Neodiprion lecontei: one gene and its partners. The protein of the gene in region 4 interacts with the protein of the main gene of each other region in a pairwise test. Links are inferred from orthologs where the notes say so. Each region holds a gene or a part of one and is shown on either strand. Other genes may lie near its edges.

The links.
Region 1: the proteins of homeotic protein ultrabithorax-like (region 4) and fork head domain transcription factor slp2 interact in a protein complementation assay, tested with the Drosophila melanogaster proteins (2 studies listed by BioGRID). The link is inferred for Neodiprion lecontei from reciprocal best matches to the Drosophila melanogaster genes Ubx and slp2.
Region 2: the proteins of homeotic protein ultrabithorax-like (region 4) and transcription factor SUM-1 interact in a protein complementation assay, tested with the Drosophila melanogaster proteins (2 studies listed by BioGRID). The link is inferred for Neodiprion lecontei from reciprocal best matches to the Drosophila melanogaster genes Ubx and nau.
Region 3: the proteins of homeotic protein ultrabithorax-like (region 4) and mediator of RNA polymerase II transcription subunit 15 interact in a two-hybrid assay, tested with the Drosophila melanogaster proteins (2 studies listed by BioGRID). The link is inferred for Neodiprion lecontei from reciprocal best matches to the Drosophila melanogaster genes Ubx and DIP1.

The regions. Positions count from the first base shown.
Region 1 is NC_060262.1:42,363,521-42,368,889, forward strand, and holds fork head domain transcription factor slp2, read right to left. Parts: upstream 3,508-5,369; 5' UTR 3,005-3,507; coding exon 1,676-3,004; 3' UTR 539-1,675; downstream 1-538. UniProt on the Drosophila melanogaster protein: Transcription factor involved in segmentation. May function primarily as a segment polarity gene. Different levels of slp activity seem to be required in different segments.
Region 2 is NC_060263.1:35,020,980-35,025,862, reverse strand, and holds the start of transcription factor SUM-1, read left to right. Parts: upstream 1-1,842; 5' UTR 1,843-2,403; coding exon 2,404-2,645; intron 2,646-4,883. UniProt on the Drosophila melanogaster protein: May play an important role in the early development of muscle.
Region 3 is NC_060263.1:3,104,650-3,112,175, reverse strand, and holds mediator of RNA polymerase II transcription subunit 15, read right to left. Parts: upstream 5,517-7,526; 5' UTR 5,361-5,516; coding exon 5,318-5,360; intron 4,973-5,317; coding exon 4,920-4,972; intron 3,537-4,919; exon of another isoform or gene 2,924-3,536; coding exon 2,443-2,923; intron 2,146-2,442; coding exon 1,976-2,145; intron 1,818-1,975; coding exon 1,271-1,817; intron 1,173-1,270; coding exon 1,057-1,172; 3' UTR 503-1,056; downstream 1-502. Other genes in the region: intraflagellar transport protein 22 homolog, read left to right, coding at 1-163, 241-410; mediator of RNA polymerase II transcription subunit 1, read left to right, coding at 6,410-6,470, 6,907-7,049, 7,137-7,270, 7,393-7,526.
Region 4 is NC_060260.1:3,090,587-3,095,213, forward strand, and holds the start of homeotic protein ultrabithorax-like, read left to right. Parts: upstream 1-1,622; 5' UTR 1,623-2,810; coding exon 2,811-3,483; intron 3,484-4,627. UniProt on the Drosophila melanogaster protein: Sequence-specific transcription factor which is part of a developmental regulatory system that provides cells with specific positional identities on the anterior-posterior axis. Binds the consensus region 5'-TTAAT[GT][GA]-3'.

The DNA of each region.
Region 1 (5,369 bases), on a different chromosome or scaffold from region 4:
CGTCTTCGGTGCACCCAAGAAACATTGGCAAGGCCGCACTGGCAGCGTTTTTATTTTCGCGGACAGTTTTTCCAGGTATACAACAGCAATGCCCGGAACCATTAGCATTGAAACTTACGTCCCAAATTCCAACGCCTATGAAGTATTTTGTTTTGACAGCCAGCGGGTTCTGCTTGTTAATTTTATTAGGGAAACCCGCATAACTTTTCCTCGACGCAATTTGAAGTGTGGTGATATCTACCTCCCACGTACCTACTTTACTCTTTGTATCAATTAGCTGTATCTGATTCCGAGGTTAACTTGGCGAAAAAATCCAGTCCCTTACACTTGTACACGTGTTAAATTAAACGAATGGGTTGGAAATCAGCTATCGAGCTGTATAAATCGATTTTCAAGAATTTCATTTATGGTTGACTATAATCATGAATCGGTCTATTTATAGGCTTATGATTAACGGTACCGCTCGGCTTACATGGTCATAATTAACGGAGCGGAGGGTTTAGGTGTTTGAAAAATAAGTTGACGAAATTTACAACGGTTATATTAAAAGATTTCGAAGTTTATTTCGTAATCATAGTTTCTCTGTACTTCACTCCTGCATCCTCATTGTGTCCTTATATTCTTCAATATATAATATCACTGCATATATGTACATATTTATAACGAAATTATTAATCTGTTTTGTACAAACAAGGTGTATATATATATATATCAGCGATACATGTATACAGGTATACAGGTATACTACGAATGTATAGTAATTAGAGATTCGACTCTGTGTTACTACGACCTATCGTATACCGAGAATCATATCGTCGCGTGTATAACGCGCAGCGTTAGAATTGCTATGGTGTGTTTAATAAGTACGCCAGTATAAAGAGCTGCACCGTGCATAACGAAGATTGAGGCGCCTATAGCCTAGCGATTCAAGCGACATTGTACGTCAGTATACAATTATACATATATATATAATGTGTGCCATGTATATAATAAACGTGTATTATAACATTTCTTTGTTCTACGTATAAATTATATTTATTCAATTTTTCAGTAGGTATGTACTGCGGTCCAATCTAAGCTGTATATGGGGTATAATTATTCATGTCTATAAGAATCTGTACAGACATATATGTATACCCATTGCATTCGTCTTGCGTATACGATACGTGTATGCACATCGTATACGCAGGCATATATGTATACAATATTGTCGATACAATAGTAATAATAGATTAAGTTGATTTTTGACTATCTACAAGATCTCTCTCTGTCCATATTTACATGTATAATAACATTTAAACCGGAGATCACCGAGTATTTTACTTTTAAATATACAACGAGGTAATATAACTTTTTTATACGTGCAACGTTCTAAGTAATATATTTACACAAATTACGCGTGAATTAATACTCTATTGAAGTCAGCGCATCCGTTATCGCGATTTCAGCTAATACCGCAAACGGTTTCGGCCCCCTTCTGACCCTTTCAACCGACATCACCGGTCGTTATATCGCAAAGCATTGCAACTCGCCCCCCTTTACAGTACGTAACACCAACGAAAAAATCATGAAGCCAAATTACCGATTTCAGCACTGCCCCGCCGTCAGAGCTGTTATCGGCTCACTCGGTAGCTTCAAAGAATCGGAAGAATGGCATGCCAGGACGCAGGGCCTGCTAGCGTTGGTGCAACAAGGGGGGCGAGTGCGGGGGATGAGGTTCCGGGCTGCTGTCAGGGGAGCCGGTGGTGGAAGGCGTCTGGCTGAGAGGGGTCGACGTTTGCTGAGGGAGATGATGCCGCTGCTGCTGCTGGTACCGGCGTTGCTGTTGCTGATGCTGCTGATGCTGCTGTTGCTGTTGCTGATGCTGCTGCTGCTGCTGCTGCTGCTGGAGAACGGCCTGTTGCTGCTGGTGCTGTTGATGAGCAGCGAGGCTCCTCAGCGTCGAGTAAAAGTCGTTGTAAGCTCCGGCGGCGGCGGCCGCGGCGGCGGCGGACGTCGCGACGCTAGCCGGCGGCATACTCGCGGGGTGGTAAGCCGACGTCGGGGCCTGGAGCAGCCGTTCCATGGAGAAGGCGCCGTGAGCCGGGGGCGCGGCGGCCGCTGGAAGAGGCTGCGGCTTGCACGGTAGATTCGCGGAGGCGGCCGCCCCCGGCAAAAGGCTCGCAGGGTATCCAGATGGCACGGAGTAGGGCCCGGCCCGGTGGAGGTAGGGCAGCGCGTAGAGCGACGGAGGCCAGGCGGGGGCGACGTAGGGCGAGTGGTTGAGGGCAGGGTAGAGGCCGTTGAGTCCGGTGAGGCCGTTAAGGCCCCCGAGGACGACGCTTCGCTTGAAGGCGGCGAGTCTGGAACGAGACGCGGCGGTCGTTCGTCGCCTGAGTTTCCCGGTCGTCCCGCCTATGAATACGTCTTCGCTGCTCGGGTCCAGCATCCAGTAGTTACCTTTGCCGGGGTCGTCGTAGTGCCGCGGCACCTTGACGAAGCACTTGTTCAGGGAAAGGTTGTGCCTTATCGAGTTCTGCCAGCCTTGCTTGTTGTCGCGGTAGTAGGGGAAGTGCCGCATGATGTACTCGTATATACCGTTCAGGGTAAGCCGCTTCTCCGGACTCTGCCGTATCGCCATCATGATGAGAGCGTTGTAGCTGTACGGCGGCTTCTCCGACTTCTTCTTCTCCTCCGCCTCTCGCGCCTCCTGCTCCTTCCTCGCCCCAGGACCGTTCCCCGGACTACCCCCCGCGTTGCCTCTCGAACAGTCCAACGGCGGCGTGTCGGCGCCGTCGTCGTACCCTGTCACGTCCAGGTCGCTACCCTCGTCCGTGTCCTCCGCGGTAGCATCCTGCACCGGGCTCGAGGACTGGCTCGTCGGCGTGAGGCTCTGCGGCGCCGGGGTCACGGCACAGGCCTCCGGGAGGATGCTGCGTATACTGAAGTTAGATTTCAGGGTGGCCCTGGGGGGCGGCAGCGACACGGTCACCGTGTGCTCCCCGGATCCTTCCATGTTCACCATCTCCTCAACCTCGTGCTTCGTCCCTCCGGCGCACTTTATCAACTGAAGGCGTGCAGGGTCTCCGGGCCCGATTCAAACAGTCCGCATCGACACTCGCACACCTTCCGGTACACGTGACTTCGTCGGTCCGGTATTATATACGCGTATAGGTCCTATATTTTCCGTTCATAAAACACTGCAGCCGGTACACTGTTCGGAGCAAACCGAATCGTTATATCGTCCCATTCATCGAATCACACGAAACAGTAGGCGATTTATCACTCTGCGACATTCCAAAAACGCAACGACAAATAAAACCACATCCACGGAGACCGGATCACGTACCGTGCAACCAGTGTCCGATTCCTGTTCTTCTCACTTTTCCTTCAAACTCGTTATATACGTACGTACGTATATATACATATATATGTATATATATGTATGGTGCAATCTATCCGACTCTTGACGTTTTCACCTCATGCACGTTGGACGAAGACTGCCGACGACGAGCCAACGGTAGAAGCGTCAACCCGACTCTACAGACGCCCCGGGAATGGTGGGGAGTTATATACCGTTGGATTGGACCGCCTCCTAGGGTTTCGAGCCCGCCCAGGCGCCGAACCGCACCAACTGAGGGATCCTCCAGGCCGACGGACTCCGAGTCGACGCCCTCTTCGTCCTCGCTTGTTTGTGCCCAATGTTTGACATCAAACAATGCAAACAGAAGAGAGGAAAGCAGCCAGCCAGTGGTGGGGATCCTACAGACCCTTCATTCGTTTCTGTCCTGCGCCCAGCGCTTCGGTCCTGCAGGGGGAGGGGGTGTCAGGCCTTTGAGCGTCAACCTCGAGGCGCGCAGACGCGTCCAAGGAAGACAAACAGATCATCAGCCTTTCGACGTTGTTGAATCGCGACAGCGTTTTCCCACCCTCGGCTTTACACACCCTTCGTTCGTCTCCTTTTATCGTGCGCGACTTGCGTGTACGTATATTTGTTCAACGACGTACACGCATGTACGTACACGTGCAGTTTATTGTCAGGCTTACGAAAGGTTCGCAGGAATTACTTTGGTCTGGATATAATACCACTCGAGAAAGATCACTAACGAGATCGTAAGCGATACCTAATGGTTAACAGATTCCCGATGTTTTTCAAAATTCGGCTTTATAAGATTTGACTTTGGTAAAAAATTCGTCCGTATCGCAGTCACAGTTGATGTTTCGTTCGCCGATTAAAGTCGTGGCACGCCAGTAGGTATCGTCTACTCTCGAAATGTGAATTAATCACAAGTATACTGCTGGAGAAAATCGGTTCATACCACACATTGGAAATCGTTGAAATATCAGTGAAAATTAACTCATTCTAATTCAGAGAGTATAACGTACCTACCCAGGTACAAACGCGAAGCATGCAGAATATAATTGTAAGCGTTTCACTCTTTTTCGTATTGATTTATATTATTGACCAGGTACTCGACGTGCAGCGTGTACGCAGAAACGACGAGTCCTGCGGCTACACGTTGCAGTGTTCGATTCCCATTTCGGTTGGAGCAAAGCTTTCGAATTATTTTTTCCGCTAGAAATTAACCCTGCCGATCTATTTGACTGATAAACTTAATCACTGCGCCTATTTTACAAGACGCTTTTTAAAGACAGTACAATTTGCGGGAGTAAGTGACGAAAAATGTTTATTTTATTATCGATTGAATTTTCAGTTGTTCATATAGATTTCTTTTACGTCATTTCTGCGCTAAATGTTGGATCTATTATCGGTTAATCGGTGTTGTATTCGTCACAGCTTATGTTTTTCTGTGATTTGAATAAAAAAATCATAGGGTAAAGACGAGTAATTAAGAAAATTTGTTAATTTTTTTTGAAACTTTTTCAGGGGTTGTACACTGAGAAAAGAAGGTCCTTGGCTTTATTGGATATTAAGTGATCCAAATATAATATATCCATGGGTTTGTATAGTCCTGAGAGCATATTTATTCAAAGCGACAATTTACGCAGTTCTTAATTTAAAAAAATCCGTATTTACGACCAATAAAAAATAATTTAAATAAATTGAGTAGAGATTGAGGGACATAACTCACCGCGAGCTGCTCTTCCGGTTTGATATTTTTATCCAAGCGCTGTATGCTTCGTGTAAAACAAAGTGTCCCTTCACTCAAATAATGTTTACAAGGATCAATGGCATATTCTTCCGATCAAAGAAGTTATGGCATTGTACTGAAAAAACTAAAATCACATCGACTGACCCCGTATTTGGATTAAAAATGTATTTAAATAATTCAATCATTCCTTTGGTATTTGAGTATCATGGGTGTATAAATGTAGTGTAAATATAGCTGTCACATATTTTTTTCACTTTTTTTTCAATACGATATGCA
Region 2 (4,883 bases), on a different chromosome or scaffold from region 4:
ACCGCGTCTCTCGGCTTGTCAAAGAAAATTATGAAGAAATTTGCTCGCTCGTTTCGGGACGGGGAAATTTATTCCGGCTACTCACCGTTCGCTCAGGGTGCAGGCGGGTGACCTGATGACCCAAATAACCCGGAAGGCGACCTGGTCACACACGAATTTCCACGAAGCGAACCTGTTTCAAACGACCAGGTCGCTTATTTAGCCCGACAAGTGTAATAGCCCACTTTTCAGGTACGTCAACTGAGAGTTTAAGTAGGTCAGAACGGCTCGCGGTTAGCTCGAAAAATTCGTACCGGTACGAGTCAAAGGGGTGGCAGCAGCTGGAAAATGAGAATAAAAAACGGGCCAAAAACAGGAGCAGGGATCGGTCGCGGGTGGAAGAAGAGAGGAAAAATAAGCGGGAAAAATGGTCGCGCCGGCCGGAAAAACGGAACGGCAACCCCGGGTTAGGCGGCTCTGCTGACGCGGCAGATGGGGGATTTTGAACGAGGGTGATTTCCTCGGATACCACGCGTCATTGATTCCGATACAAATCGCGTATAAAGTTTAAGACGACGCGTGCAGGCCAAAGCGCCTTTCAACGGTCACCGTAAACTTTTTCCTCACACAGAGATCAAAGCGTTATATCGTCCCATTTCGTTTAAAGGGTTCCTCGGATTCCTCTTGCAGAACGAAGAAAAAGGGCCCCGCTGATTGCGCTGATATGTTGGCGAGGAGATCGGCGGATATCCTCTCCGCCATTTTTCACCTCCAAGTATCCTGGCTGTCGTCGGCTAACTGCCTGGTCGGTGAAGTGATTCTGGCGAACGGATTCAACGAGAACCAGAATCAGGGGATGTTTTCACGCTTCCATGTCGGTCAGGATGACTGAAAATTCACGAATTATTCACGCGTGCAGGGCTTACGGATGTGGATAATTGATCCGTCATTTTCACTGAGTACGATTGGAACGCGAAGACTCGGTTTTGCAGACTTCAACTGTCTCGATGAATTCGGTCCGCTTGATTCTTGGTCGTAACTTTGTCGCATCTCAGATATGCTTCAACCCTGTACTGGGAAGCCGAGTAAATTGGTTAGTCGATGATTTCTCAACCATCCGGAGGACAGCCGAGTGTCCGGAATACCTCGAGGATTCAGCGGTCGTGTCTACCGGCTCTGCAAACTGCTGCAGCTCCGTTCGGTTGAAACTGCAACGATGATAATCGATGAGTGCGGAGTGACATGGCGGAGTAACTAAGGTATGGAAATAGCACGTTTCCTGGTCGGCAGAATAAATCGGGGCACTCCTTTACCTGCGTCAATTCCCGGGTCATGCTGGACGTGGACAAGCGTGCGGAATACCGCTGAAGCGTTGGAAGAATTTGCATTCTATGCGATTAGTGGTCGCGAAAAGCGGACGAGGAAAAACGTGACGGAATGACGATTCCGATTCTCGATTGGAACGGGCCGCGCTTATACACCCTTGACGAATATCGCCGCGTGCTTTGACGAGGATAAAAACGTCGTCGAGGTTACGGATTTCGGTAATACGGGACCGTGCCCGCGACTTAGCAACGTGGCTGCTAATTAATGCCGAAAACCACACCTTCGCTGGCAATTCTGCCAAACTCATGCATCTATGACAGCGATGGGCGGGGCAGGACGGTCTAAACAAATTTTCCCGATCCCCGATTGGCCGGGACACTTAAAAATAGTCGGTTGGGGTGTGGTGACTCGGATACGGCCAGGCGTAGCACACATCAAACGGCATAAATATCTACACACTGGCTTGTCGCCCGCCGCGACACACATTCAAACTACACGGAGAAAACCCATGTGGCTTGCGGAGACACTGCCTGTAGAGGATGCCTGCGAGCTCCTCACTCCGATGCTCGACCTCGAGGATTTCAGATCTTGAGTACCCTTCGGAGCCCGAAGTCGGTCCGTTGTCATCGCAGGCCGCGGCTGAAGAATCGCGACCGTACCGCAAGTTCCATATTTCCGTCAAACGCTCCTACCGATCGTTTTTTCTTGTCGCGGATGATCCAACGCGGATGGATCATGCGCCGCGAAGCGGTTTCGCGTTCGGAGTGACCAGCGGTCGGTTTATCGGGGACTTTTACGGTGATGAATGTGAAAATACAGATCAGTGTAGCGAGGAACGGTTGAACCGATGCTTTCGAATCCCACGATTCTTTGAGAAGCCCAAACAAAGTTCACCGTGAGTGTCTGGAGCGTAATCGTGCGTGTGTGTTGACAAGTGTTTTCTGGCAAGCGCGTATTCATCGGTCGGAATAACGTGCCCGTAGTCCAATAAACTTGGAAAATGTTCGAGTGACGGGAATCGGGGGAACTTTTTGGAAGCGGGGAAGAAAGACGGAAAGTCACGCGGCTCAAGCAGGTCCGAATTTTACCGTCCCCGAGATGATGACCTTGATGACAGACGTCGGTCAGTATCCCTACGAGGCGGGGAGCAGGTCCTCGTACGAAAGTTATCACCATCATCGACATCATCATCACTTCTACGCGACAACTTCCGACGCCGATTACCTCCAACGATACTCCAACGATCGGGACGATCATCCGAGGGCCACAAGCGCCGATGGGAGCTTGGCTTCGGCTGAAAGCAACGGCTCTGGACGCTGCTATCATCGAGATCCTCTACGGTACTCGTTCATGCACGTAATACGCACCTACATGTCCGCCTTCGATTTGTAAAAGAAAAAAAAATTGGTCTTCTTACAACGCTCTTCGCCCCCATTTGCTGTACGATGATTTTATTTGATCATTGATTTGGCGGTTGCATCGTGTCGTTAAATTTTACACTCTCGCATTAACGTTCGGAGTGATCCGTCGAGGCGATCAATGGTCCAAGCGAACGGTTCAAAAGCCGATACTTTCACGTGCAGATGAAAATCAAAATGCGAGCATAATTCTACCAGCCTTTAATAACCACGTTTGGTCTGAACTCGCTTATCGCATTCGGCCTTTAATACAAACGTCGATCCGGTACATCAGCAACAGTCGATAAACGTCACGTTTTCAACTAGAATTGAATGATTGAGCGTTCCTCTCAAAACTTTTAATGACATCCCTCGGACCCGAAAGCACAATTGAATAAATTTATTCGTATCATTTTCCGACTTGTAACAATGAAATATGTTGAAAGTTTACCCGCACTCGAAGTAACCTCGTATTTCCGTAGAGAAAAAGATAAATAAAAGATAATAAAAAAGGGGGTCAGGCCGGTTCGGAATTGGCGAAGTTCCGCGCCTATTCAGACCTCTGAGAACGCGCGGCTGCGGCAACCGCATGATGCACGGTATCGCATGCGTATAACACAAGGCGCGTGCTTCCAGGCGTAACTATCGACAACTATTGAATAACTAGGCTGCTTCGCAGCGAGCCTCCTCGACCACGTCGTGTCCCCATATCTACATATATATACATATTCTACGTGCATAGCGCACACACAAGCAGGAAACACGAGCAACCGCCAACCCAGCCTAGCAAGTTATACACACGCCTAGAAAATTGCGTAGTCTGAAAATATTCCGACAAGTATACAAATCTCGATGGGAGATAATTGATGAAAAAAAAAAAAAAAACCGAAGAAATTAGTCGTTAGGACGCATTTTAATTCCCCAGGCGACATACAATTTTTTTTTAAAGCAAAAACTTCGAGGATATTGACCGTCGATCAGTGCTGTTATACCGATCTAATTAACCAATTATTCTGTTTTTCACTTTTAATGTATTTTTCTTTTTCGGTTGAGAAAATTTATCGAATCAGTAATGAAGTCTGTGTGAAACGAGGTAAAATTAATTCTCCGCAAGGGTAACACGGCGAAAATATCAGCGATTTGTTTTTTTTTTTTTTCTTCATTCTTGGCACAATTTTTACCGGAGATGAAGTACTCGTACTTCGTTATTAGATGTGAAAGAAAATTAAACAAGCCACTGTACGCAGCCTTTTTACCGTTTCGTATACGGGTGTGCAAATTTTCCGGTTCAAATCCATATTAGGAGAGAGAGAATAATGCTGGGTATGAGAAAATGTTATAATTTACTCGTTAGAACCGCGCAGTTTAATATCGGAGGGCGTCTCGTTATCTCTCGGATTCCAATCTAACCAAGGATCTTCCTCTTCTGCCGGAGCAAGTTTCCTCAAATTTATATTTGTACGTTATTATTCCAGCCCCGCTTTTGTAATATTCCGGTTACCATTACCTCGGTGAAAAATTATAGTCGAGTAATTTTTAGGATCGATTGATCAGGGATCAAATAATACAAGCGAATCACCCCATCAAATTACGTTTGAGTATACGGAAAATTAACTTTACGAGTTTGAATGAAATCATACGCGATTCTCCTGTGTTTGACAATCGGCCAATTTGCTATACAATCCGAAAACATTATTTCTGAAATTACGTAACGCGTTTTCAAAGGGTTCCAAAATACAGGAGGGTTTCCGAGTGACGTACCGTGCGAAAACAAAAACTCTTTAAAATTGATAATTAAACTGTACTGATTGTTATAGAAAAGTTTCAACATCCACGTTCCGGCAGTCACGGGAAATTTTCTGTACAAACTCGACTAAATTGACCAGAATAACAATGGAGATTATTCAACAACTTACCACCTTCATTTACCGATACCAGATGTACGTCATTATTTAGTTAAAGCATAAACGGGTGTCAAGTTGAAACCGCAGTATCTGTGTACCTACAAATAAGTGCAAGCATTTGATGGAGGGAAAAATATTCCGCAAGCCTAATCGTATAATGAGAAATGCGCTAATTCGCTGCTTTTTATAAACAAGCCCTTCTCTTGCAGAGTGCATTAATTACGAGGGTAAAAAAGTGTAAGCCAATATGTTATATCGATCGACAAATATTACAGTA
Region 3 (7,526 bases), on a different chromosome or scaffold from region 4:
CATGGTGTGATTTTTGTACACAACGGTAAATCACAGGACTATGTTCGTGAGCTAGAACAATTGTACGATTATTTCGTTAATCAAACTGGGCTTGGTCCAACAAATTGTGTCATCTTTCATCACGATCAAGATAATATCAGTGTCGAAATTCCTAAAAAGATGTGTAAGAAATGATATAGTGATTTTATTTTTCTCCTCACATGAACTATGTATTAATTATAACTTGCTGTTTTATTACAGCGCCCAAGTTGTCTAGAATATCGCAAGTAAGCTGTAATACTGAAGAAGGTGCCAATAAATTGAAAGTTGATTTTCAATCGTTTTTGGGAACTCTGATCAGCAAGTTGCAAGAGCACACAGATCAGGAAGAGATGAGTCTTATGCGGGATAATATATTGTTTGCCGCTTAAAGAAAAATTTAAACTCAACTTAGTATTACTACTTGAATAGTTGAAAGTGACTTACTAAATTGAATGTAGAGGTAAGCGAATTATGAAACATCTGATTGTGGTAAGTTGTATTTGGCATTAACATGTGATTTACAGTCAACAGTAATTAATAGTATAATGAATTACTTTTTAATACATTATTTTTGTCAATGAGCGGTAAAAATGAGTGTTTTCAAACGGAAACAACGTGAGTAAAAGAAAAAGCAGGATTCACCACAATGATAATATTCTATACTTGAACGTCGCAAGAATAAGGTGTCCTTAAGCTATTAATTATTATACATTGTACGTAATATTATCCTACTCGATAAAATACATTTCTAATTTCAATACTTTTGTTCTGTATTAAAATTTAAGGTTACGAAATAAAAGTAAAGTATTTGCTAATATAATAGCAAATAAACAGAATAAAATTTGATCAATTGAACAGATGATTCGGAATTAACAAAAATACCTTTGTACTACTCACGATTTCAACAATCTATGATCTTGAATAAACACAGAGTTGTTCTACAATCTACATAAACGTCAATATCAAGCGAAAGAAAAATAGAGTAAGTGTAAAATGGAAAATCGAATCACCCCAACAAGATGTTTGTAAAAGAATTCAACACATCATGTCTTCTGTATGATCCATCTTTGTTTCTTCGGGATATGTTAAACCGTAAAGCGCGGACAAGGCAGTTTTAGCTGCCATTTTTTTGGCATCCTTTTTATTCTTGGCTGTAAAAAGAAATAGATTTGTTATCACCCTCAAAAATAAACAAATCGCATCAAAATAGCAAAATACTCGGGAAATCAGTAATTACGAAATTTCTTACCAGAACCAGGATACTCATTTCCATCGATTTCCACAGCTAAAGTAAACATTGTGTTTGGTGGGTTTCCGGTACGATTAATTTCCACATATGTCAACCCAGGCTTCATTTGATTGAGCAACATGACAGGATGAATGTTGATCGCATTTATTGGTAAATCTTTTTCAACCGGAGCCTTTGGCTCCTTCTTACCACGCCCAGTAGAAACACCTGGTCTTGGTACTGGGACTACAGTGCCCTGATTTTGCCACTCCAAAAACAGCTTGTAGAGAGCAAAACTAGCCAAAGAACTCCAGGGCACTTCATCTTGTTCTTCAGTAGCCGTTTCCGGAGGGCAAATTGCCATTTCGTTGCCTTCCTCTTTGATAGGTGGAATCTGTTGGGCTGATTCTGGTTGTATCGATTGCCCATCCGATTCAGCGTCAATTCGTGCTTTACTTGTGGCTGTTGTCATTTTCTCAAGGAGCAAACACTTCAACGCATTCTCAGCAGCATTCTGTCGCGCAAGTGGCTTAGACAATCCTTGGCCAACGTAAGTCTTCCCGTCAATCTGTAAGTATAATTTCGTCATTTTATTACTAAATTTTGGATAACAAAACGAATTGCGATTATTTGCGTGCAGGCATCCAATATTCCGATGATAACTGGATAATATATCAGTGGATGTTTCTTTCAGTGACAAATGCCGATTTCTACATGCAAACTTACTTCGGCGTGCACAACGAATAGTGAGTTCGGCATGGCTGCTTGTGACTCCGGAAAGGTGAATTGTACTCCAGTCTTCATCTCATTCAATACCATGATCGCATTTTTAGGCTGTAGAGCCTTCCTCAGTCGTTGATTCATCCTAAGCCGCTTCAGCTTCTTATTTACCTTATCTTAATGAACATGTTTCAAGTGAGTATATCAAATTATGTGTAAATTCGATGAAAGTCTCAGTAAAATAACAATCAATCAGTCCTAATGTTCACACGAGTTGTTCAACTGCTACAACTCGACAACTAAAACTTTGGAGTATGCAGCTAACTGTACAACTTTCAAATTTGCGCAGTGAATTTTCATCATTAATTGTCAATTCATAACTCTTACACCAGTAACAGAAAACTGATTTATCCAGCATTTAGATATTGTATAATGTGAACTGAACGAAAAAAGAAATTCAATCTCATACTCACAGCCAGATACCCTTCCACGTTTCCATTTCGGTTGTTCCGGACTGTCGACATCCATACTCTCTTTCGTATCCTCAGTCTTAGTCTCATTATTATTAGCAGTTGGTGGCGTTGTTGGCTGAGCTACTGGCGTTGGTGCAGCAGGTACACTGCTAGCGGCAACAGGAGCACTAGTAACTGCTGGTGGAGTAGATGACGGTTGCTTGAGGATTGGCTTCAGACGCGGAGTTTGCGGAGTGGTAGGCTGCTGCTGCTGCTGCTGCTGAGGTGGTGTCTGAGTAATTGGCTGTGCCTTTGGAGGCTGAGAGCCCTGCGTTGTTCTGGCCGACTGTTGCTGCTGCTGTTGTTGCTGCTGTTGTTGTTGTTGATGTACTGGATTTGCAGCTTTAAACTGCGGCGAGTTTTGCACTGGATTATTCTTGTAAGGTCCCTGCTGATTCTGTCCCGACATTTGAGACGGTTGAAAATTCCCTTGTTGCGAATACTGTAAATCATAGGGTGGGTCTCGCCACTACACAAGGAACCTCTGCGGTTGTGCTACCCCACCAGGGCCCGACGTCGCACACGTATTCAAACGCAATCTGACGCTACCCCTATAGCTTACACCTGCCGATATTCCTTTCAACAGTGCTAGACGTTTCTCAATTCATAACTAAACCATGACCAGCTATTGGAAAACAACATCAATCTAATTCATCAAGAGATACACAAATTTTTGCACCTTCTTATGAAATAAATCATCTCTGACAATCTTTACACAATTAAAAATAACATTTGTTCTTGCCCAACTAAGAATGAAGAATTTCATAATATCAGATAAACAAGTAGTTTGTAAAATATGTGACAGTAAACTCAAATCTAGTACAATGTAAAACCATGTCCTCATTCTGTGCTTATGATTTTAGCTCTTGTCGGCAGTATCACCCAATGGAATAGAACAGATGCAAGAAAATCGTGTATCGCCAAGGTGTTCAGAACATGAGTTTAGAACGAATCATTAAGGAACTGGCTCAGGATGCATTATGCTATGAGGGCAACTGGCGAGCCTGCCCCTGGCGGGGCGCACCTCCTCGGTATTGTTGTATAGCTACTAGGGCCTGCTTTGCAGGAGAGGGGAAGATGGGAACCACTAATTAGTACATGCAAATAAAGGCGGACTTCTGCACTTTTATCATAATTGGAAACTGGAACACAGGGATAATATTAAAATACTAGCCTACTTCTTTGATCGTCAAACATCCTGAATCGACTTCGTAAGTTTTGCAGTGATGATTATTTATATTTAATTAAATCAGGGCTGGCAATAAGATAACTTTCAGAGAATTAAGAAAAAAAAAAAAACTATTTGATTTGGAACCGTGATCAATGGTGGCCAGAAAAAATTTCAGTTCAATCATGTACTAAAAAGTTTAGAACTAAAATGAAAAATTCAATTCCTAAACTTCTGTTAGAAATGATTAAAAAAGCTGAAGAATAAATAGCACAGTTTATAAATTGATTAAATTGAGGTCCAAAGATCTCATCAAACTGTTTCGAAATAGTGTCTTTTGCCACCAAGAGTGGCATTAAATTGCTAAAAATTGATGACTATGATGCAAAGAAGTAGATATAGCAAGCATTTACAATACCAAAGAGATTGAATAACAGGTATACGTATATCTATGCAATTCTTACTACCAATTTAGTTTTGGCTTTAAAATGAGATCTGTTTCTTCACTCTATGAAAATTCTACAACCTCATTATTAGCATGGGTAGGTAACAAACGCGTAGGTAATTCCATACTGAAGTTGCAGGTAGTGGAATATGATTCTAGAAAAAAATACTTTCCAAGATTTTTGCAAAAGATTTCAAATATTCCAAGTATTCAATTACAGCTTGTCCAATCAGTCTTTCAACCTGTGTTCCTGTACAAACTTAAAACAAACCAAATAAAAGAGAAGTAGATAAGGAAAAAAAACAAGCCTACACCGTGAAATTTTGAACTTTACATTGTCAAATAATAAATAATATTGCATTGAATCTACGATACTTTAAAGTGCATAATTTATCATACATCTATACTAATGTTCTCAAGGTATAATAAATATTGGTCGAAATACCTTGACATTTACGCATTTTAGATCTTTGCTAATAAATCATAATGTGATTGATGGTTTATTTTATTAGAAATTAGTTGAAGACTTGAGAAATGCACAACTCTGTGTATGTAATACTAAGTGATGATGAATACTAACAATAATAATTGAATTTTCAAGAGAAAAGATCTGCGATGTTAAAAAATTTAGAATATTGTATGTACATATATAATACAAACTTTGTCTATTCAATTGTTCAATTTGTGGTCCATGAGTTATAAAACGTACTTGTCCAAATGATACTTCACGCAATTTGATGAGCGTTTTAATCACATAAAATTTACAAATAGTGAAGTAAAAATTATTTTCATTGGTTTGGATTATCAGTATGGAAAAATGATTACCGTTGAATTCTGGTATCCTGGTCCAGAATTTATGTTTCCCGACTGTCCCCTTACTGGAATTTGAAAAGTTCCTAGCATTATTCAGGGTTACTTTTCTCTTTCGAATAATTGATTGCTTTGCAGCAAGTAATTACAAACGAATAAAAATCAATAACCACATAGGTACTGGATGGTATGTACAATAAATCAAAGGCTATTGTTGTCGGTTCTGTTTTAAGTCGTAACTATTATACAATCGGCTCTATACTCCGAGTTTGTATTTGAGTGACTAATTCGATAGAGAAGTATGAGCGTCGTCTCGAGCCCCGGCATTTACTCAAAAAGGAAAATTTAGCGTCATCCATTTTGTAGTATGCCGCTCAGATTCGGTAAAAATGAATTAACATAAATTGATTTACCATTTGGGTAATTTCCCTGACTATTTCTGCTCCTGGTGTACATTGCGGTATCAATGTTCAAAGGTTATTATTTAGTCGTAAACTATCCACAATAACTTGTCAAAAGACACAAATAACGTTACATCTAATTCCGATCACACAGATAATGGCGTTTTGTCGCAACCACAGCGTCAGTGACTGCAGTGACTATGGAGATTGTACAAGGAGCATGAACTCAAATGGGTGAATTGACCAAACTTGTCACACTAATCGTAAACGTTAGCTTCATGTTTTGTACCACTAGCGTCACTAGTGTTCCTGTAGCACCGAAATGTCATTAGTTGTAGAGATGCCCAAGATTGACTAATCGACGATCTTGCAATGTGATTCATCTACCTCGCTCACCGTTATGGTACTTATCGTATATTAATTGCTTCTTATTTTGGGAAACGATTTGTATACATGGAGTTCGTGCTCCTTGCACAGTCTCCGTGGCAGTGACTGCAAATGGTTGTAGAATGGCTATGATTGCCGATCAACGGAGAAGGGAAGTCGGGTAGTTGGATTTTGTCCAAATCATGTATAGTTAGATATCCGAAAGCACGTTCAGGAGCTCTTTCAACAATTACCGACGGTAATCTTCCAGTTTCAACAATATTTATTCGATGATAAGGTTTCGTTGATGCATGTATCTCTAAATATTGAAGTCCACGTGTCTCAAACGCAAAAAAGGATATGAATTTTACGAATTTACAGTGCCATTTATTTATTTCTCCGTCAAATGAAAACTTATTTGAGTGTTTCTCTGTTACTCGAGTTTAACACCTGTGCCATTTCTTTACACATATTTATGCACGTCGAAATCGACCAAGGGACCCCCTTAAAGATCACGCGAGGGGTCGATTGTCGCAGATGGCTATGTCGACCAATCAGCTGATTCGATAAAGATCGACGCGCGATGCGCAAAGGTGTACTGCTAAGGGGGCGCAAAGGTTAGGAAAGCGAGGTCTGCTGAGCTAAGTGGAGTGAAGCAGCAAACGAGCAAGATGCTGCCGTTGGAATGTAAAATGTGTTGACCTCGCGTGGATAGAGAAACGGTGTTTAAAGCGTATTATGGCATCCGTGTTATCCGGAAAAGGATACATGGATGCGGGGAACAATCAGAAGGGCCTTCGTAAGTATTTCCATCATATCTATGTTTTACGATCGACGGCTGATCCTATGCTGACCGAGATAGTACATGCGTGCGCTTTGGTGGGGGACACAAAATTCGTTGATTACGCTGATTGCTACGCTATTTCACGCACACGTTCAAACAATAACAAATTCGCGTGATCCTATCCACTCATTTTCAACCAACATAAAACGTGCTCGTTTAGCAAAAACCCCAGCTGACGCTGTGTTTATCTGCCAAGAGTTGTGCATAATTTTCACTGACGCGTTTATTTATCAGTTATGCGTTGCTATGAGATAGACCCTTGTTACACAACCAGTCGTATAAATTTATGCCGGCATCATTATTGTCATTGTCTATCAATTGTGCTGGTTTTATCACACGCGCCTCTTTAATTCAAATGGAAATCTTGCTGAAAATAAATTGAATTTTCCAGCAGCCCCCGGGGCTGTTGGCAGCCCGGCGGTGGACAAGGGAAAAGAATGGCAAATGGAGCTGCTGATGGAGAAGCTTCGTTCAAAGGCTGCTTCTTTTAAATCCTTTGTCGAAATTGCTAAGAATCTGCGGATGGCCATGCTGGTAGGTTTAATTGAGCTCGATATTAACTGTTTAAGAAGGAGCCTTAGTCTCTAAAGATTAATTTAAATATGTCTAACATATTTATAGGATAAACGATTCGCCCTTGACAGTGTTGAAAAAAATCAACTGCAAAAATGCCTCGATACTTTGCAACATTCCATAAAGGTCACGTCTTTGCAGTCCATGGTAGAACGACTAGAAAGTCTGACAAGGCAGTTAGGGTAAGTGGTTCTCCAAATCTTTCATATCATACCTTCAGATATGTTTAACCCGTGCGAAATGTACCCAATGTGCAGCTATTCAGACATTTTATACTCATCGTATCTTGAATGTTTTATTGCAGACTTAAATTCATGTTGGGGACTTCTGGTACACAACTGTTTATATCATCGGATATGTTTTATCTAGAAGTTCTTTTGGAATCAACTGGTGCTGTCAAAGATGTCAAAATTCATCATGAAGGGAAAAACGAGCAGC
Region 4 (4,627 bases):
AGCGGCACGGGAGGCTTATGATGGGCATTACTCGGATCGTTATGGAATAATTTACGAGGTGCGAACCGCGGGGGCGATAATCCAACGACATTTACATCCCAATAAACACTCGACCCGATACCAACGTCCAAGATACGGATGTGTGCGCTGGTTTAACGCGCGTGTTGCGCACACCTACGTTTTCACACATCAATCGGAGAAGCCGCGCACTTCGGTGTAATATGTGTGATACGGATATTATACGCGATGTAATAGACGCGATATTTGTGCGTATAAAGTATATTATATCGCAACGCCGTTGTAACCGTGTGCCGTGAATTTAATGTATGTAATACGGAACCAAGAAGAACTCATTTTTACGACATTTTAATTGTACGGTTGTCTAATTGGCCCGTAAAGCATAAAGTGCTCGTAAAAGCTTTAACGATATTATTATTACCATACGTTTGCCTGCCGCGTTTCGAGGCACGAGACCGGTTATCTCCGCGATTATTTTCATTCAACTGTTTCATTCGCGCCAGCTACACCGCGGTGTTCATTGCATTTTATTTCCTGCGTGTCTTTACCACCTTCTCTCGTTTCACGTATTTACTCGACTTCGTTATCGTGCCGAATTTCCTTTTTTTTTTTCGTAACAATTTGCGCGCTCCGCATTTTTGAACCGCTTGCTCCGATCAGTTTGCCGGAACTGAGAGAAACGGCGCCGAATTCCGTTCATTCACGGCTCGCCTTGTCGTCGCGGCAAAAGCGTCGGCAATAAGAGAGATAGTACGCAAAACGAAATGCGAATAAAGGAACAAGTGCGAGCGTCGATCGTAATAATAGAATTTGCAATTGAACGTCGTTGATGTTGGTCGTTTGAGGGCCGGGATGAGTATGTGGATGTTGGTTCGCGGCTCTCCTCAGAGGTGGCGCCGACGGTGAGCGGTCCTCCACGCGTGACACTCCGCGTGTGAGGTATCTCCCTCCAGGGTGAAAGCTCGAGGGTGGGAGAGGGGCGGTCCTGGCTGGCCTATTGGCGTCGTTCACCCGGGGAACTACTTTCCCCGGGCGTAGTAAGCTCGCAGCGTGGCGGCGCGGCGCTCGTGACGAATTCAATTCCGATTGGTCCTTAAGCAGCGCTCTTCCCCTACCTGCGACCCCATCGGTTCCTTGGCGACTCGTCCCTCTCTCTCGCCGTTCGTTCTCGGTCCTCGTCTGGCACCCAGCGGCGTATCCGCGGAGCGGCGTTCTCGATTTTAATCCGGCGGCACGTCGCCGAGTTTCTCGAGTAGCCAACAGGGGGCGCTGTAAGCAGCCCCGAGCTTTCCGAGGGGGAGATAGATCCAGCGTCGAGGGACGGCCCGGCCACGCGGAGGGGGGCGCGGCACGCGTGCGAGCGAGACGGGACGGTCGCCTTCCTCTTCCACGGGAGGGTCCCGGGGGCTGTGGAGGAGCGAGAGAGAGAGAGAAAAAGTGAGAGAGAGAGAGAGAGAAAGAGCGGACGTACCGAGTGGCGCGGCGGTACGCCGGGCGCGAGAAAAGCAGTGTGCCGTGGACCACCGCACCGGCATACCGTGGCCAAGTTACGATCCCCTTCCCAGGCTGCCGCATTTCGCGTACACCGCACACGCCGCTGCCGCTGCCGCCGCCGCCGCTGCCGCCGCTGCCCGCCCGCCGCCTCCACCGCCTCCGACTCTCACGCAGGGGACAGAACGGGACGGAACGACGCGGCACGACAAGGAGGGACGAGCGCGCCGCGCCAGTCGCGCTCGAGTCCGCGTAAACGATCCACCACCACGTTCGACCGAGTGCTAGTGCAGTTCCGACCGCCGAGTCGCGCGGCCTTATCTCGTTTCACGCGGTTTACACCCCAGCCTGGTGGTACCAACGGGTTCGGTATACATTAACGAGTAGAGACGGGGAACTACGGGCGCCACCTGCGCTCCTGCCGCGTGCTTGAGTCGAGCACCGTTTTTATATGCGATAATAGACAGCGGACTTCCTGTTGTATATTATAATACCTTTCAGACCGAAATGTCAAACGAATCGGGTGTATTGTAATCGCGGGGGTGATATAGAAGTAGAGGAAAAGGAGAGATAGATAGGGAGAGAGAAGAAGGAAGAGAAAGAGGGAAAGATAGAGAAAGAGAGGGAAATCTGGCGTTTGACGAAGGTCGCGTGCCAGGCGCACCGCGTCGCGGTTACCAGAGAGTCAAAGACGAGGAGGCAACTTTTATAGCCCGTCTTATTGCCGGGTTTTATTGCGTCGTTACGATTTAACGGTCGTCACTCTCCGCGTCGAGCGACTCTCCTCTGCCTCCAAACCACCGCAGCACCAGGGTGCTGGCTCAGCCGGCAACGTGGTACCGCGGCCGTCCGTTCACCGATCGCTCGTCTAATCGCCAGAAACGCGTCATGGTGTCCATTCCTGATCGGCACTCGTAGTGGCCCGTTGAGTACCGGAGGGCGCCCGCCGAAACGCCACCGAGACTCTCTCGAAATCTCGGTCGTGACCCTACCGCTCGGTGAATTTTACGGCCACTTGAACGGTCCTTACTTGCCTCACGGAATCCCCGCCACCTTCGCACCTTGCTCATCTGGTTCACCTGTCCTCGTTCGATCGCGGTTCCGTAGAGAGCCGTCGAGCCTCGCGATTCCGTCGCGATCCGTTGTACCAGCTTATACTCAGGAGTGGAGAACAGCTGACCGTACAGACTATTCCTCTAGCCGGGACCAAAGTCCCCTGGCGTTTTCTCGCCTTGGCGGAGGGAGGGTTTAATATTTCCAGTGAGGGTGTCCAGTGCAAGTGATTCAAAATACTAGGAATAATGAACTCGTACTTCGAGCAGACCGCCGGTGGCTTCTACGGTAGCCACCATCACCAGACCGGGGCCGGGGCCCAGCACCACGACCCCGCAACGGCAGCCGCTGCCTATCGCAGCACCTTTCCGCTCGGCCTTGGGATGTCGCCGTACGCCTCGACCCAGCACCATCATCACACGTCCTCCTCCCTGGGCATCCACCCCGGCGGCGGAACGAACACCAGGCCACCCCAGGACTCGCCGTACGACGCGAGCGTCGCGACGGCCTGCAAGATATACTCGTCGACCCCGGAGCACACAACCTCGTCCTACTCGTCCTCGACGGCGAAGGACTGCAAACAGCAGGACCAGTCGGCCCACCAGAACGGATATGCGGCCGTGATGGCCGCGGCGGCCGTCAAGGACGTTTGGCAGTCGGCAACCTCAGCGGCGAACGGACAGAGCAACCCGGTCGTCAGGCCCTCCGCGTGCACACCCGAGGGCACGAGGGTCGGAAGCTACGGCAGCCTCGTGGGAGGCGATCCTGCCTCGAGTCCGGGCAACAACGGCTCCTCGAGATCGTTAGCCTCCTCCTGGAACACCTGCAGCCTCAACTCGGCGGCCAGCCAACCGGTCGCCACCCAGCTCCATCAGCAACCCGCCGCGAATCACACCTTCTACCCCTGGATGGCCATAGCAGGTGAGTTTGTCACGCGCAATTTGCATCCCCGACCTTTCGCCGACCGGTCCCGATCCACCTAGTAGTAGCTGCAAGGGTGAAGAGCGACCGTTCTTAGTCGGAGAGATCGCACACGTGCTTGCCGCGTATAGGTACAATACCTACACTTCGGGGCTTTCGAAGCACGTGGACTCACGCTCGGTTAGACTCGCCGGCAGAGAAAGAGAGAGAGAGAGAGGGAGAGAGAGAGAGAGAGACCAGGGGACCAAAAACGCCTGCTCGGTGAATTCAAAGTAGCCAGGCGACGAACCGGGTAATTTGTGTATGCGAATGTACGCGCGGTTGTGTCTGTCTTTCGCGTACCTAATCGCGTCGTGACAAATCGCTATAGCCAGGATACTTGCGCGACGGCCGGATTTTGTTTGACCGAGATTCTCCACTTTGAATCTCAATAAAAACAATCGGCGCGTCTAGACTAGACGTGGGTGTCTATTCAGTGCCGGAGATAAATTGATCGTAAATTAGTCTGAATTCTGGGTCTCTGGTCGACCTACTACGCCTGCCAACTACCGGCTTGATTCATCCGCAAGAAAAAGTTTCCTCCCGTGAGACCGTTTAATATCCGATATCAATTTTCCCGCATGTCCTGTAACGCAAACCTCCGCGGATTGACGGGCCCTTAAGACGGCGGCAAAACGGAGTCAAGTGCGTGTAAAATTGCCGCCTGCATAAGCACGGTCCTTGTGTATACACGGGAGATAAGTGCTCCGTGGGCTCGTATACAAATGTCATCGTGTGTACGTAGGTACGTGTAATACGCCTATTGTACACAATGCAGGGGATGAGGGCGCGGAGCGTCCAATTGGGGGTTCAACCGATCAACTGCCTTTCTCTTGCCACTCACCCCTCCGGAACCTGAATTCCGGGAGTCAGCTGTTTATACTCTGATCTCAGTCACACGTACGCTGCTGGATGGCCGAGAGTCCGGTCCTTCTCTCTCTCTCTCTCTCTCCCTCTTTTCCAGTATGGGAATAATCACCGCTACACGAGGCTTACCTGTGTTCATCCCACATTCACGCACACTCACGCATACACGCGTATCGAGAGCCCGACTTGATCTCACTTTTCGACTCCTCTCTATACGCCTCTCCGTCCCGCAACCGCG